Struthio camelus: one gene and its partner. The protein of the gene in region 2 purifies or fractionates together with the protein of the main gene of each other region. This does not show direct contact. Links are inferred from orthologs where the notes say so. Each region holds a gene or a part of one and is shown on either strand. Other genes may lie near its edges.

Evidence for each region. The genes of interacting proteins can lie anywhere in the genome.
Region 1: the proteins of PTPN2 (region 2) and KPNA6 purify together in Homo sapiens (affinity purification with mass spectrometry; 3 studies listed by BioGRID and IntAct, with this or other methods). This does not show direct contact. The link is inferred for Struthio camelus from reciprocal best matches to the Homo sapiens genes PTPN2 and KPNA6.

Annotation. Positions count from the first base shown.
Region 1 is NC_090964.1:8,518,945-8,526,568, forward strand, and holds the start of KPNA6 (importin subunit alpha-7), read left to right. Parts: upstream 1-4,607; 5' UTR 4,608-4,841; coding exon 4,842-4,845; intron 4,846-7,624. Other genes in the region: TSSK3 (testis-specific serine/threonine-protein kinase 3), read right to left, coding at 1,675-2,336, 2,776-2,920. UniProt on the Homo sapiens protein: Functions in nuclear protein import as an adapter protein for nuclear receptor KPNB1. Binds specifically and directly to substrates containing either a simple or bipartite NLS motif.
Region 2 is NC_090943.1:113,532,557-113,539,843, forward strand, and holds the start of PTPN2 (tyrosine-protein phosphatase non-receptor type 2), read left to right. Parts: upstream 1-4,280; 5' UTR 4,281-4,508; coding exon 4,509-4,577; intron 4,578-7,287. UniProt on the Homo sapiens protein: Non-receptor type tyrosine-specific phosphatase that dephosphorylates receptor protein tyrosine kinases including INSR, EGFR, CSF1R, PDGFR.

The sequences.
Region 1 (7,624 bases), on a different chromosome or scaffold from region 2:
AAGTGCAGATGGTACTTGCTGGCTGAGACTGGCTGTGTGTTAATTCATCTGATACCCTCCCCCAAACACACAAACCCCCATCTTGGCTGCACCAGGCTTCATGTAGCTGCTAGGGTTACCAGCCTTGCTGTGCTCACTGGGTGTCCTTCACTTAAACCACGTTTCCACTGCTTGCAATGCTTCCTTTCGACCCACAGCCTTTGTCCCTGGTGCGGTGTCCTCCTAATGTTGTAAAATACCCCTCAGTGGATGTTGCTAGTAAGAGTTATCCTAAAGGGACAGAGCCCACGCCCCTGTCTCTGGCCTTTCAAGTATTGATTTTATCCGTGGTACCTATGTCATTCTGCCTCTTTGAGGGCTGCTTAATTGGAGCTATGGGTTTCCTTCTATTTCTGGATAATGTTAACCTAGGGTACTTGGGGAGTTATTTTTCCTTTGGGCAGATTCTTTAACACAGCTGCCTGCACATGTGTGGGGGTGGTGGTGGTGACTTCAGGCCCATGCATGAGAGCTTGTCAGTACTGGAAAAGCCACGAGGTGCAGGGATCGTGCTGTAGCGCAGCTCCTGCTTCGTGGCGTCGAAGGGGCCCAGCAGAGCCCCTGAGCTGTGCTGCCGCCTTGCCCTGTCCTGGGCTCTGACACGGCCCGAGGAGGCTGCTGTGTTCATGCTGTACGGAGGCAGGAGCCAAGTTTAGCTGCAGCAGGAAAACCTGTCATAGGTTGGTGCCCTGATACTGGTGGGGCTGTTTCTGCTGAAGGGCTGCGTGGTGCTGCCGCGGCAGGGGCTGCCGGGCTGTGTTGCTGTGGAGCGTGAAGGTGTGAGTCCTGGCTGCATCCCAGGCCCACAGCGGAGCTGCCGAGAGTGCAGCGCTCTCATCTGTGTCATTTTTTTTTTCTTTAGTCCAATTAACCATTTGGTTGTCTGTGCAATATTCTCTCTTCTGAACTATTCTGCATCTCCCTGAGCCTTTTCTAGCTGGGGTGAAAACCAGAAACAATTCTAACAGCTGGTGGTTTTGTAATGACGACTTTCTCCAAACCTTTTACAGACTTGCAGTTAACAGCAATTAAAGGAATTCTACAGAGTCGCTGCCTGTACTGGGTGTCCTCATTTCGTCTGCCGGCAGGGTGGGGGCTGCCCAGAGGGTCTGTGTCTCTTGGACTGGTTTTGATTTCTTTTCCCTCCCACCTCCGCCGAGGGACATGCGCTTGGTTGGGAGGATGCTGGAAGAGAGGGATAGGGCATGCTGGGCTGTCCTTTGGCTTAGTGCCTTGGCTGCATCTTCTCCGTAGTGGCTAGCCAGGCAGGGGAAGGGCTGGGGTGAAGCTTCCCGCCCTGCTCGTGGCCAGGGACACACGGCCGTGGATCCGCCGGCTGTGTGAGACGTGCCAGTGCTTGAGATGGTCTTGGGAAGGTGGGCAAACGCTGCTCAAAGCTCCTTGGAGCACGTATAAAGCACGCCTTGTTCTCAACTCATGAAGGCCAGGGGCTTTGGGTGAACAGATGAAATGCCTGAGCATGGGCTAGACCCATCATCTTGGCTCTGCCAGCCAAGGCCTGGCCTGGCCTGCCCCCCGCGGGATGGATGGGTGGGAAACACTGACGTGAAAATGTATCAGCGTTTTAGAAGCAATCCGTCCCCTTTATTTGGGGACAGCATTGACGAGCCCTTCTCAGGGGCTAGTCAGCCACGGGTGCCAGCTGACTTCCTCGATGGAAGGCCTCAGGATCATATCTGGCTCCAGGAGGCTTTTCAGGAGGTCCTGGCACTCCTCGGAGACCCCCAGGTGCCTTGGCAGGGAGACCCCTTTCTGCTGCTGGCGCAGCATCTTGGGGATGTCCGTGTCGTCGAAGGGCAGGCTGGCGCACAGCATCACGTAGAGGATGACACCCGTGCTCCAGACGTCACCCTTGCGGCTGTCGTGGGGGACGCCCTGCAGCACCTCGGGCGCCGCGTAGGCCGTGCTGCCGCAGAAGGTCTGGCTCAGCTCCTTGCGGTTCCTGGGCAGCAGCTTGGCAAAGCCGAAGTCCGTCAGCTTCAGGGTGAAGCCCTGCAGCAAGGCGTTCTCGCACTTGAGGTCGCGGTGCGCCACGCCACAGCCGTGGCAGTACCGGATGGCCTCGACCAGCTGGTGGAAGAGGGCCCTGGCGCGGCGCTCGGGCAGGGGCCCTTCGTGCAGCACGCAATCGAAGATGTCCCCGTCCTCCGCCAGCTCCATCACCAGGTAGATCTTCCCTTCGGCAGACTCCAGCATCTCATACACACGGATGATGTTCTTGTGGTCCAAGCGCTGGACGATCTGGAGCTCCCGGGGCAGGAATCTCTGGATAAACTCTGCGGCGAGAGAAAGAGGGGTTTGCTTGCACTGCGGGGATGAGGACGGCCCTTCGTCCCTGAGCTGCTGGCTCCTGTCACCCCTCCAGGGCTTGGCCAAAGGGGTGGGTGGAGAGAGGGAAGGTCCTTTCACGGGGGCCCTATTCCTTATGGCCTTGCACCGAGCATCCCTGCAGGGCTTCTCCCAGAGCGATGCAGGGACCGGGGACGCAGGGAAGCACGGCCTGATGCCCCGGGCTGTGCTTTCTGCCTGCAGCAGGGAAATGCGGGAGCTCTCCCACCCCCCTGGAGCTCGGGGGCAGCTGGAGCCCCCCAAGACGCTGCCTCCTCTCCTGCTCCTCGGAGGAAAGTTTGGGAAACTAGTTTTCTGCCAAGAACGAGAAGCCTCCAAGGAGAGACCGAGCCTCAGCCTGGAGTCCTCTCCGGTGTCATCTCTTACCATCTGGACCTTCCTTCTTATCAATAATTTTAACAGCCACTTTCTTCTGGTGCTTTTTGGAGAAAGCCTCCTTCACTTTGGAGTAGGTTCCCTCCCCAATGGTCTTGCCCAACTGGTAGCCATTGACGAGCAAAATCTCCTCCATCTCCTCTCGCAAACCGGGCCCGTCCGTTCTCTCAGGTCATCGCACAGCAACTCCGCGAGAGCATCCCAGCGCCCGGCGGCCGCCCGCGCCCCCGGCTGGCATCTGCTGCAGCCGCCGCGCCGCTGCGTCCCCGGCCCGGGCAAAGCCCCCGGGAAAGGGGGCACCTAGGGACATTTTAAGATGCGCGTGTCCTATTGTGATGCAGGTGACGCTGCGTGAATCGGGTGATGGAGGGGCGCCCGAACGGGCAGTGGCTCGGGGGCAGCGGTGATGGGCTGCGCTGAAACGACCTCCTGGCAGGCGCCGTGAGCAGGTGGCGGTCGGGGTGCGGGGCTGGGGGGCCCTCCGGGTGCTCCCCATCCTTTTGCTGTCTCTGATCTCCCTGCGTCCTGTCCCTGCTGCTCTGTTCCCCCCCAGGGCAGGATTTGGGGAGGTGGCGGGGGGGTTCGGAGCAGGAGGCGACACGCGGGAAACGCTCCGCTCCTCGGCGGCATCCTCCACCTCCGGCAGTGGCCCCGCAGGGAAAGACCCCGGGCGGCCGAGCGTTGCCCACGCACCCCACGCTGGACCCGGCCCCTGCTCTCGCCTCTCCGTCCAGCTCGAGTTTTTCCAGCCGGGGAAGCGGGGAGCAGGGGGTTTTCCCGGTGGCGCGGGTGCCGGCGGCATTGTGATGCGGGGGCGCGCGGCGGGTCACAGAGCACCTGGCCCCGCTGCCGCCACCGCGCTCAGCTCAGGCAGGGACGCCGCCGAGCCACCGCACGCGCCACGGGGCCCGGCCAGCGCCCCGCAGCGTGGGGCCGGGGGGTCGGCTGCCGCCCCGCGCGCCTGCCCTAACCCCCCCGCTCTCCTCTCCGCTCGCCCAGGTCTAGGGCTCGGACATGAACTCCCAGGAGACCCCGCAAGCTCGGAGGTTTCCCATAGAGGCGGGCGACTCTCCCGGCCTGGCCGTGGCTCCCGAAACGCAGGAGCCGGTAGCCGCTCAGCAGAGCGCGGGAAGGTAAGGGCTGTGCCCCCTCCGTGTCCCCTCCTTGGCGAACACAGCTGTTTTGCTCCCCAAAACATCACCCCAACGGCCCGAGACCCTCCGTCCTGCGGGGGGGCCAGGTTGGCCCCCCGCTTTCCTGCATGCCTGAGGGCTTTCTCGGGACAAGGTGCGCTGTGCCGTGCCGTGCCGTGCAACGCTGTGCCGTGCCCCGCGATGCTGCGCCGTGCTGCTCCACGCAGCCCAAGCAATGGCATGCAGTGCTGTGCCATGCCGTGCCGTGCCGTGTTGTGGCGTGCCATGCTGGGCCATGCCGGGCCATTTTCTGCCACGCCATGCCGTGCCGTGTCATGCTGTGCCACGCTGTGGCATGCCGTGCCGTGCCGCTGGGCTAACCCTGCTCTCTCTCCCTCCGCAGGCAGCTGCGACGATGCCCCGGGAGCCACTGCCTGACCCTGCCCAACATCCCCATTGACGTTTTCATTGCCATGGGTGGGAACCGCCGGCCTCGCACCACCTAACGGCCCCCGCGCCGGCGCGGCACGAACGGCCCCGGAGCGGGAGAGCAGCGCGGGACACGCGGATCGGCGACGCACTTTATAATAAAAGGACTTCTTAGAGCGTTTCGGCGCCTCTCCTCCTGGCCTGCTGCCCGCCACCGGGGTTTTGGGGGTTGGGACGGGACGGGGCGGTGCTGGTGCTGGTGCTGGTGCTGGTGCTGGTGCTGGTGCTGGTGCTGGTGCTGCGCTGCCGCCCCCGGCCGCTGGGGGCGCCCTTGCGGCGCGGGGCGCTCCTTTAAGGGGCGGGGCGCCCGCAGCGCTGGAGGAGGTTTGTCCCTTCGCGGCCGCCGTTCGCCGTCTTCTCCCCTCGCCCTCCCTCTGTCGCTGCCCGCCATATTGTGGCCGCCGCAGCTCGGGAGCCGCAGCCGGAGGAGCCGCGATGGGTGAGGGCGGCCGCGGGGGTTGAGGCGGGGGGAGGCCGGGTCGGGCCGGGGGCAGCACAGCCCGTCCCGTCCCGGCGGCTCGTAGCCGGGCAGCGGGGTGGCAGCTCCCGGGGTGTGTGTGTGGGGGGGGGGACCTGCGCGACCGCCCCGCCGGAGGGGCCGGTGGTTTTTGAGGTGAGTTTTCGGGGTTTTGGGGCGGGAGCCCCCTCTGCCTCGGGGTCGGAGCCGGCGGCGGCGGCCTTTGAAGGGAGCTGCCGCTGCTGAAGCTTCGCCGCGGCGTCTGGGGCCTGCTGGCGCGCCTGTGCTCTCTGAGGGATTTAAATGCTGAAGTCCGTAAGGGAGCGGGACTTGCCGGGCCGAGCTGCTGCTGTGCCGCTCGGCCCGCGGGCGAGCTGGCGGCGCCCCGCTCCTTTCGCCGGGCCTGCCCTTCTGCCTCTTGCGCTAACGCCGCAGCCTGCAGTTTTTCCCTCTCTCCGTGCTGCACAAACCTCACTCGCAAGTTGTAATTCCGGCCTAAGCTGGGTGAGCACCCGCCTTGCACGCGGTTACGTCTGTTCCTTGTCGTGGTAGGAAATCGAGGGTGAACGCTTCGCGTTTAACGCAGCACCAGCAGCCGTGTAAGCGTAAACGCGGAGAGGCTGTCGGATAGCACTGACTCCGTACGGCATGTCACTGTAGACAAAACAGTCTCCCGACGCTGTGCAGGAAACGAGTATAGTGGGTGACTTTGTATATTCATAAGCAGCCTAACTAAATATAGTTAAGCAAGGGTTCAGGGAGATAGCAGATAGCTATCTTTTGTTAGCTACAAATAGTTCATAGCTGAACGTTGTCCTTCAAAAGGCATTTCAATAACAGAAGACTTCTTTTGTTGTCTTTGAGGTAGCGCCAGAGGCTCCCTAGTCAAGGAAGCAGAAATGTCACTTTTTTGAGGCTTAAAGTAGCAAGGCAGGGTTGAATGGATGAGGTGAATGTAAAAGGCAAGCCTACAGCAGGCTTATCCCTTACAAAGTAGAGTAAGATTCCCCTGTGAAGTAAGGACTAGTTTGTTATCAATTTTAAGCAGCAGTATTATCTTTTGACCAGACCTGCTTTCAGAAGTCTTAAATGCCCTTTATAGTGGGATGCAGCTTGATCAAAATGACCTTGTTAGAAACTCTTGTTCCTTCTTCAAACACCTCTTGTGATGTTCCAGAAGAAGTTAGTGGCTGCAAGTCTGCATATGCAGTGGCTACAGAACTATCCAGTCTAGAGTAGCTTTTAAAACTTAATTTATAGCTTGAGATTTAAGATCTTGACTGGCAACTTTGAGTAGAAAAATGTCCTCAGGCCTGTTGGTGAATGTCTGAAAACTGTGTGTTACCCACAGCTGAGGAAGCTTATGCAAAGAAGCTCTCCTGTCCTTTCCCCTCCCATTCCCCAGTTTCATGTTTGAGCTTCAAGCAGACTTTTTTTCTTGACAGCCACAATTTAATACTCTTCCTTCTCTGAGTGATCCTAGTATAACTGTTTTAATTTGTTTTAACAAACCAAGGCTGCTTTATCTGTGTTTTGGGGTAATGCAGCTAAATTGTGGAAGGACAGCATTGCCCCTTTTGCTTTGTATGTTGCAGGTTGAATACAGTTGTGTTTTATAAGTAGCTATAGGATATTGGTCTTGCCAGTGTTACTGGAAATGGTCATCAGGTCTTCTCCTTCATTTGTTATGCAAATTCATGTCTAAATGTTTTTATTGCATATGGAGCATAATGCTCAGTTCTTAAACCAAAACTTATGTGGCTGATGGATGATTAGTTTAACTAGTTATTTGGCTAGTTTGCTTTGTTTGTTTGTGTTTAGCAGAGAGCAAACATGAACTTTGTAAAGGGGAGCTCAATCATTAAAATGGCTAGTGTAATAGTGAAAGTACTAATTCCTTCATCCTTTTGGTTTTCAACTGTTGTGCTAGTGAGACTCAACCTCAAACTTGCTCATCAGAAATCAGTACTGTTTGGTTGCTTCTGTAGCAAAGCACATGTTGGGAAGGATAAGCTTGTTGGGATCTCAGCCCTCTGACTTCCTTCTGCTGTTTCTAGTTGCTTTAAATCCTATAACTCATTCCTGTCTTGAGTTTGATTTGACTTACTCAAAGACTTAGTTTGTTTTTTTTTAGAACTGTGACAAAGGACTGTCTGACCTCAGGTGGGAGATTGTTATACCTGGTAGATCATCAGTATGCTCTTAAGGAAATCTGAATGTCTCCGAACATGGGAATGGGGTTGAGAAGAACTTAAATTCCCCAAACTTCAGATTTGGGGTGAAAAGATCAGGAGGAGGTAGAGCTGAGACTAGGGTGTTTTGAGAGCCAGACCGAGGATTAGGTGGGTCCCTATGTTGGGGGACAGATAGGATAAAAGGAGTCCTAATCTTAGATTGACCCTAATGAAAGACAAGTACCCTGTATGAGTGTTAATTCTCCCAAAGAAAATGGTTTTTGCTCTTTCCCTCCCCCCTCCAAAGCCAGCGCCATCAGCGAAGCGGTTGCACATTCCAGTAATGATATCACATCACTGGCTCTTAGTAGCTAAAACAGAAGGGAATGAGCCAATGGTGTCTGCTGCACTGGACAGCCAAATAACTGCATGGATAAGCGTTTTACTAGCACAGAATGTGCTGTGTGCAAAGCACCCAGCTAGGGATAGTGGCAGGCTGTGTTCAAGACAGCTCTCAAAGATCACTGAATCTGCGTGGTGCTCATTCATAGTAAATGCTCAGGAAGAACCTGCACAAGAACAATAAA
Region 2 (7,287 bases):
AAATCCACCAACTTTAAAGAGGCTTTAATTAATGGCACCAGAGATCAGGTGAAATTTTTTGAATTAATGACCTTTTAACCAGGAATGTGAAATGAGAGCATCAACCCATTCTGGACACTCTCTGAATTAGACTCTCTCACTTGCAAACTATCATTTGAATAAACATCACCATAGCTAGGGTAGAAAGCAAAGACGGAAAAAAAAATGAGTAACATACACAAACCATCCCCGACACGCAAGATTCTCTCTTTTCCTTCGCTTTTACAACACGGCCATTTTTAAACACACTTTGGACACTGCCACTGTTGTGGATCTGTGGCTAATAGACTTGTTTAGCCGAATGCTAAGCTGTTAGGGCTGTTTGCGCTTCTGCCACTGTTGCTGCTACAAGTATTTTTATTTTGCTACATACATTTTAAAGTTTTTATTTTGTTTTATGCCAAAATACTACTGAGGAGGAAGGAATCAATAGTATAACTGAAGAAAGGTATTTGCATTGGCAAACACTTTCAGTGATGGCAGCTTTCAAGTTCCTCTGAACAAGGAATACGGTCCCCAGCTGTCCAGAATAGTAAGGCTCCACTGTACAGGCACAGGGTGAATGAACACTGTTTCATCCTGACCATCAGATCCTTTTATTCAGCTTCCCCTGCTCCCTATCAGATGCCAAAAGTGTGCACAGCCCTTCTGGGTTTCCATTCCTATCCAGCTCTTGGGGGGAAGGGAGGATCCACTTGTCCTTTAGGCCTTGAGCCATAAGACTTAAATCAGGAATGATATGTTCCCATGCTCTCACACCCTGGCAAGCTTCAGCACACTGCAGCTTTATTCCTTACAGGCTAATATCGATATGGAGTGTATCTGTGGATAAAATCACCTCAGGGAAGAACTTGTTCTTCATCTACCAATATCTTAAATGATTCTCAGAAAAGCAGCACAACACGGATCATTTCCAGTAAGTGATACTTAGGTAATTTCCAGTGAATGACCCAAAAATGAAAATGTGGAGGAACAAGCACTTAGTCCACTCCAGAGTGGTACTAAAGTTAATTGTGAGGACAAGCTCACTGGGCAAATAGCATTTAAAGTTACCTGACTTGGTCTTTTTCATTTAGATGAGCAAGCACCGAGAGCCTTTACATTTGCTGTGCAGACAATACTGTACAGTGTACATAACTCTCTCCAGGGCACCAAAAGCAATTCTGAGATCAGAACTGCTGTGGATACCAACTCCCTTAGGATGACTCTCTGTTTGCCGGATGACTATCTGTTTGCCAGAACAGCAAGGGGCTTCTCAAATTAGGGCAGGCATTTTAACAGAAAAACACTGCAATAAGTACTTGCTTGGATTTATAACTAAGGCAGAAGACAATAACAATATACCACACATTCCAGCAACTCCATTATCCCGCTGTGTGTATGTCTCGTTCTGTCTCAAGAGTTTAAGAGTTTATATAGTAGTTCATCTGGGGTTGACTGCACAACTAGTACAGAACGGGAAGATACTATTGGCAGCAGAATAAATAAAATTTTCTAATGAGTGTACTGGGTTTATGTTGTAGATACAATTCTCCTCCACAGACCTTTATAACTGTAGTCCTGGGCTTACCCCTGACTTCGTTCCCAGAAAAGAGAGAACTGCTACAATCTTTTCAGAATATTTGCACTAAAAATAATCATCAAAGATCAAAAGATGGCAATTTTTGCAGAAACCCCTGATTTACCAGTTAATGCTCTTCTAATCCACATGTAAATCACAATTAATAAACAGTTACGTTACTTTTCCATGAGCTGTCTCCAGGCCCTGGTTTGCATTACAGATTCTAAACATAACTGCTACCATAGAACCCCCTCTCCTAATAACGTAAGTAAGTTGCTTTCACAGTATTAACCACATCCCCAAATATCATAAGCAAAGACGAGCACAAGCTTCTAATATATGGACGGTTATCAGAAGAGCAGAAATCATGTGCTTTTGTGTTAATACACACTCCTCCTCTCCTCCTGCATCCTTCTCAAAGCTCACCGATGCCTCAATGAGCCGCCCAGCTGGGATGCACACAGAGGGCTCCTTAGCTGACAGAGCTGTCCTTGGACCCAAGCGTGACGTCTACTCACGCTCCACGGGCAGCGACCTCCAAGCCTTCCTGGCCTTGGAAAGTAACATGTGCTTGGGCAACATCACTCTTCATTCTCTCAACCGATGGGACCGTGGTGGGAGCTTCCTCTGGCTGGGACCTGCATCAGACAGCTTTGTGGGCATCTTGGGGTCTAGGAGCTACTGCTGAGGGTAAAAAAGGACACGGTGCTTCAGTAAGTTAGGCCATTTGCCTACAAATACGGACTGGTCAGCAAGTTCACACCCAGAGAAAAGTCTACTCAAGGTTAAAATCGGTGAGGAAGCTGTGTTCCATTTGTTTAAGGTTTGTTAACTGGCAGACAGTTTCTGTTCTTCTGTTTACTTTCCTACACGCAGCCTGTGCAAGATCACACCTCCTAGAGATAAGAACACTTTTTGCTCATTGAAATGTGGATTTAAATTAATCTACATTTTGGTTTAATCAAAAAGAATCTTCACGTTGAGGATGGGCACTTAAATTCTTCTCTGCTTTCCTAAATCACCAACTTAAACCACACACGTTGTCTTGTTTATATTTCAGAAGGAGTCACATGTGGCACGTTCATTAATTAGAGCACACCTGCAAAACTACAGATAACCTGTTCCTCAGTCTTGCAGGCAGAAAGATGCAGAAAAGCTAATCCCTACAAATCTTCCAAAGTTTGGACTCACAATTCAAGGAAAAATTGCTGAGGATTTCAGTCAGGTGCCTGCAAAAACACGCTACGAACTTACTGATGTATAATGTCCCATCAGCTATGCTTCAGAGATATATCCGATGCAGCCCTCCAAAGAGTGTAAAAAATAATGACTTTCATTATATAACGTGAGAGAGCACTTCAGCCACTGGATTTGGAGCACTTTACTGCATTGCAGCCCCCGGACAGGAGGGAAATGCAACAGCTGATGGCAGATATTTGGACGTGCAAAACAGAAATCTGCTTCAAAAAAAACGTAGCTGCGTAAGCACACACGCACCTCTCACGTAACGCCGACTGACCCTTTCCAGCGAAAAACGACGTTGCGGAGGTGGGGGCGCGAGCTCAGCTCAGCCTGCTCCAGCCAGGGGCTTTCGGCCTCGCGCAGGGCGATGCCAGCATCAAGCGCTCGCAGGTGGTGAGAGCGGCGAGGGGATGGAGGCGGCCCGGAGCTGGCGGCGGAGAGAGGGGCAGGCCGAAGCGAACAGCGGGCAGAGGGGCAGCAAGGCCACCGGCAGCTTCACTGTGACACGAGGTGGTGGTGGGGGGGACTGGGACTCAGGTTTCTTCCCCTTTCTCATTAACATCAAACATTTTGCAATCCCCCTATGTTAATTGGCGATGTGGGCTGAGGTACGAAGGGCAGCCCGCCTGCCTCAAGAGCTAAAAGCAACTTCTCTATTATGTTAATTGGTAAAGCAGATTTCCCTGAAGCTTGAGCAACTGAGCCCTTGCTAAACTTTGTATGACCTTTAATTTTGCTGAACGCTTGTGAAGCTCTTTCATAAGGGGCTTTCTTTTTGAAGCAATCACAGAGGATTGGTGTGTTTTGCCTCTTTGTATTTCTGCTTTTAAGATTGCAACAGGGGTATGAGTTACAGTGATTTGATTGTCCGACACACTCGTATTTTTGTACTTCTGCTTTTTAAAATAGGCAACGTGGAAAAGCTGAACCACGTAGAGCTACATGATGTACGTGAGACCGAGAGCACATGCTGAACGCAGTCCATTCAATCGTTACAGCGCGGAATCAGGTCAAGGACTCGCGATTTGTGTTGCGCTGCCGAGTATGGTTCAACAGCGCTCATTCTCTAGCGAAACACGACCGTCTTTTGCTCACACCAGGAGCAACCTACGGTCGGCAGCTACTTCGTGAGTGAAGAAAAGGCTTTCCGGCCACGCGGCCTGCCCTCCTTCCACAGCTGCCTCTTTGGGGCTACAGCCGTTAACAGCGCCCAACGTTTCCCTGCCGCGAGCTCTCGCACGGAGAGGGCAGGGAAGCAGAGGGGCACCGGACCCTCCCCTCCCGCCCGCGGCAGCCGGCGGCGCGGGGCCGCCCCCGCCCCCAGACCGGGCGAGGCCGCGCCGGAACCGTTAGGGCACCGCCCAACAGCTACCACCTGCGCGCCCCCGCCCGCCCCTCCGTGCCCCCGCCCCGTGACGTCACCCCAGGTGCTTTCCCCGCCCTCCGGGAGGGCGTGGCCCGGTAGGCGGAGGCGCGGGGCGCGCATGCGCCTGGCGGCGGCGGCGGCACCACCACCACCAGCAGCGGGTCCCGTTGCGAGCGTATGTGCGCGCGCGGCGAGGCGGAGAGCAGCGCGCTGGCCGCTCCCGTGGGCTGGGCGGCGCGCGAGGGGGTATGAGCCTGTCGGCCGCCAGCGGCCACTCGCGCTCCGGCCGCCACCGCCGCCATGTCCGCCGTCATCGAGCAGGAGTTCCAGGAGATCGATGCCACTAACGACTGGCAGGCGCGTTATTTGGTGAGCGAAGGGCGGCGCCGGCCGGAGGGGAGAAAGGGAGAGGGTGAGGAGATGGGCCGCGAGCCGGCGGCGTCCGTTGCCGGCATGAGCTGCCTCCGCGGGGAGCGGAAGTCGCTGGGCCACGACTCGCTTTCAGGTGCGCGCAGCGAAACTGCGGGCAGGCAGCGCGCATGCTCCGAGGGTGCTTTTTTTTTTTTTTTTTTCCCCCCCTTCCCCCTCCCCTCCTCTCGGGAGGGGGTGCGGACGGGGATAGCGCATGTGCTGTGTGGCAGGGGTTGCCGATGCGCATGCGCACGGCGCGGCGTGCGGGGGGGGGGGGTGCGCTGCTCATGCGCGGCGGCGGCCCGTCCGCGGCGGGGCAGGGAAGGGAAGGGAAGGGGCAGCGGCGGCTGACAAAAAGCGGGGAGTTGACCGAGCTGCGGGTGCTTCCCCCACGCTCTCCAGGCTGGGTGGAAAGCTATATCTGATCATTTCGATCCAAGCCAACGCTTGTCTTCGCCCCTCGGTTCGCCGCTCCTCCGGCTAGTGCCTGCGAAGTGGCTCCTCAGCTGCCGTCTCAGTGCACGTCGCCCCTCCTGTCACGGCTGCCTTAGCATCCCCGGGGCGGGAGCAGGAGCAGGGCGATCGTTGCGCAGGAGCTAAGCTGCTTGCTCTGTCTCCCCAGAAACAGCGCTGATTAACAGTGGCCGCAATGATATGCTTTGAGTCCGTGGTCTAAAATTAGTTCCTAAGTACTGTTATGCTACTGCAGTTATTTGAGCCAATGTGTATTTTACAGTGTTCTCTCACAACTGAGGGAAAACGACCCAAAACGAAGGTTCTCTTCGTTAACTTCCAAGTTGGGCTTTGTCTCTGTTAAATCTTCAGTGTATTTGATTTATATGTATGCATATTTCAAACACGTTATTTCTAGGCTATGGAACGGAACAGTGGTTTGAATTTAACAAGGGATAATAAGGAAAAAACGTGTGAAATTGTTGTGATAAAACTATGGGAAGAATTCTGCAAATAGTATTTTTCGTGAGGTGAAAATGTGCTTGCATATTATGTCTGGATATACCAGACATAATAAGAAAGCTAATTTAGCTTTCTCAAGGCATATTAATATTATTCAATTACCTTTGGGGAAGTAAACGCAAGAGGAAATTGTAATTTAAGCTCTGCAGAACTTTGTTTATGGATTTTCCTAGTTTTACTTACAGCTGTGTTGTACAGTTTCCTTGAATAAAGATTTTTATATTAAAATTTTACCACTTCCTGATTTTATAGGCCTGCAAACTCAGGAATTTTTCAATATACTAGAAATACTTCATACTTCAATATGTAAATGTTTTATATTAAAACCAGAGACTACAGATTTGTTAAAGCGAAAAAAGGAAATGCTATTCTTACGTAGCACAAATTCACAGAAAATAATCTAATCACCCACTACTTGTTTTTACCCTGAATTTTCCTATGGTATGTTTTTTTTCCTATGGCAGTGTTGTATAGGATGCGTACGTATTTGTGATTAGAGGTATAATTTTCTTTGAAGAAAAGTTCTGAAGGAAAAAAAAGGTTGTTAGGTTTTTTTTTTGCTCTTTCTGTTGATACCAGCTCTGTATATTTGCTGTTCATTTCCATGTATTTGACAAGACTTAGGGTAAATTTTTTTTTTAAAAGCTTGGAGTGTTTGTGCTAACTCCTGGAGCTTCTGTCCAGTCTGAATTAAGGACTGAATAAGTAACTCTTTCCCCCATTTATCTTTTCTATGCAAGTTTTTCTTGTGTAACATGCCTTCCATTACACCTTGTATTTGATTTGTCTCTCCAATTTGTGAAGACTGCATCATATGAAGGGAAACTGATTTTAGAGGCTAGTCTTCCTTAGGTTCACTTCTCTTGAGCAAAGTCCCTCCTCTCCCCCACCCCCATTGCTGTGGTAGTGTTTTTAACTGGTCCGATGTCTCATGACCAAATTACAACATCCTCTGTGCACGCTAACAGATTTGATGTATTTACAAACAAAATACGTCGCACCCTTTTATGGAACAATATAAAATTTACGTTTTTGAGAGCTCTGTAGTGAATGCTTAACAGATGCACTTGTTGACCATGCGTGTGGTTGCTCCCAAAGCTTGTAAGATGTTTGAACTAGAGAAGAAGACAAGCTGCAATGTACTGTATCAAAATAAAGATTTAATCATGTAATCAAGTGATTTTTTTTTTTATACAAATATTCAAAGAATTGGTGCTTGGTTGCTGCTGCTCCATGTTGTGGGTTAGGGTCTTTACAGACTGTTGCTGCATTTAAAGTAACATCACACAATAAACATTAATAGATGGAGAGTCCTTGTGTATATTAGATTTCTGTTAAAGACCTTTTTGTTTGTGTTCATTGTCTGAGAGTATGCAGAGGGCTATTTCAGAAGTTTGAGAAGACCTTGTTTGTGGTAGTGGGGACATACAGAGAAGACCAAGGAATGCTTAGTTGTAAAGGGAAGTTCAAATACCCTTTAGTACACGGTGATTGCATGTAGTAGCAACATCTGAAAACAGAAGGAGAATTCAAAACAAAACATTTTTAATTCTATATTTTACAACAAATCTTCTGAGATGGCATCAGTATAGAATATAAAGGCACAGTTAGATTCACTGGAAGCTGTTTGTCAATAGCACCGTAGTTGAGTTTTCAGTTGCCTACAGTAGATAAATCGGTACGTCTTAGTGCT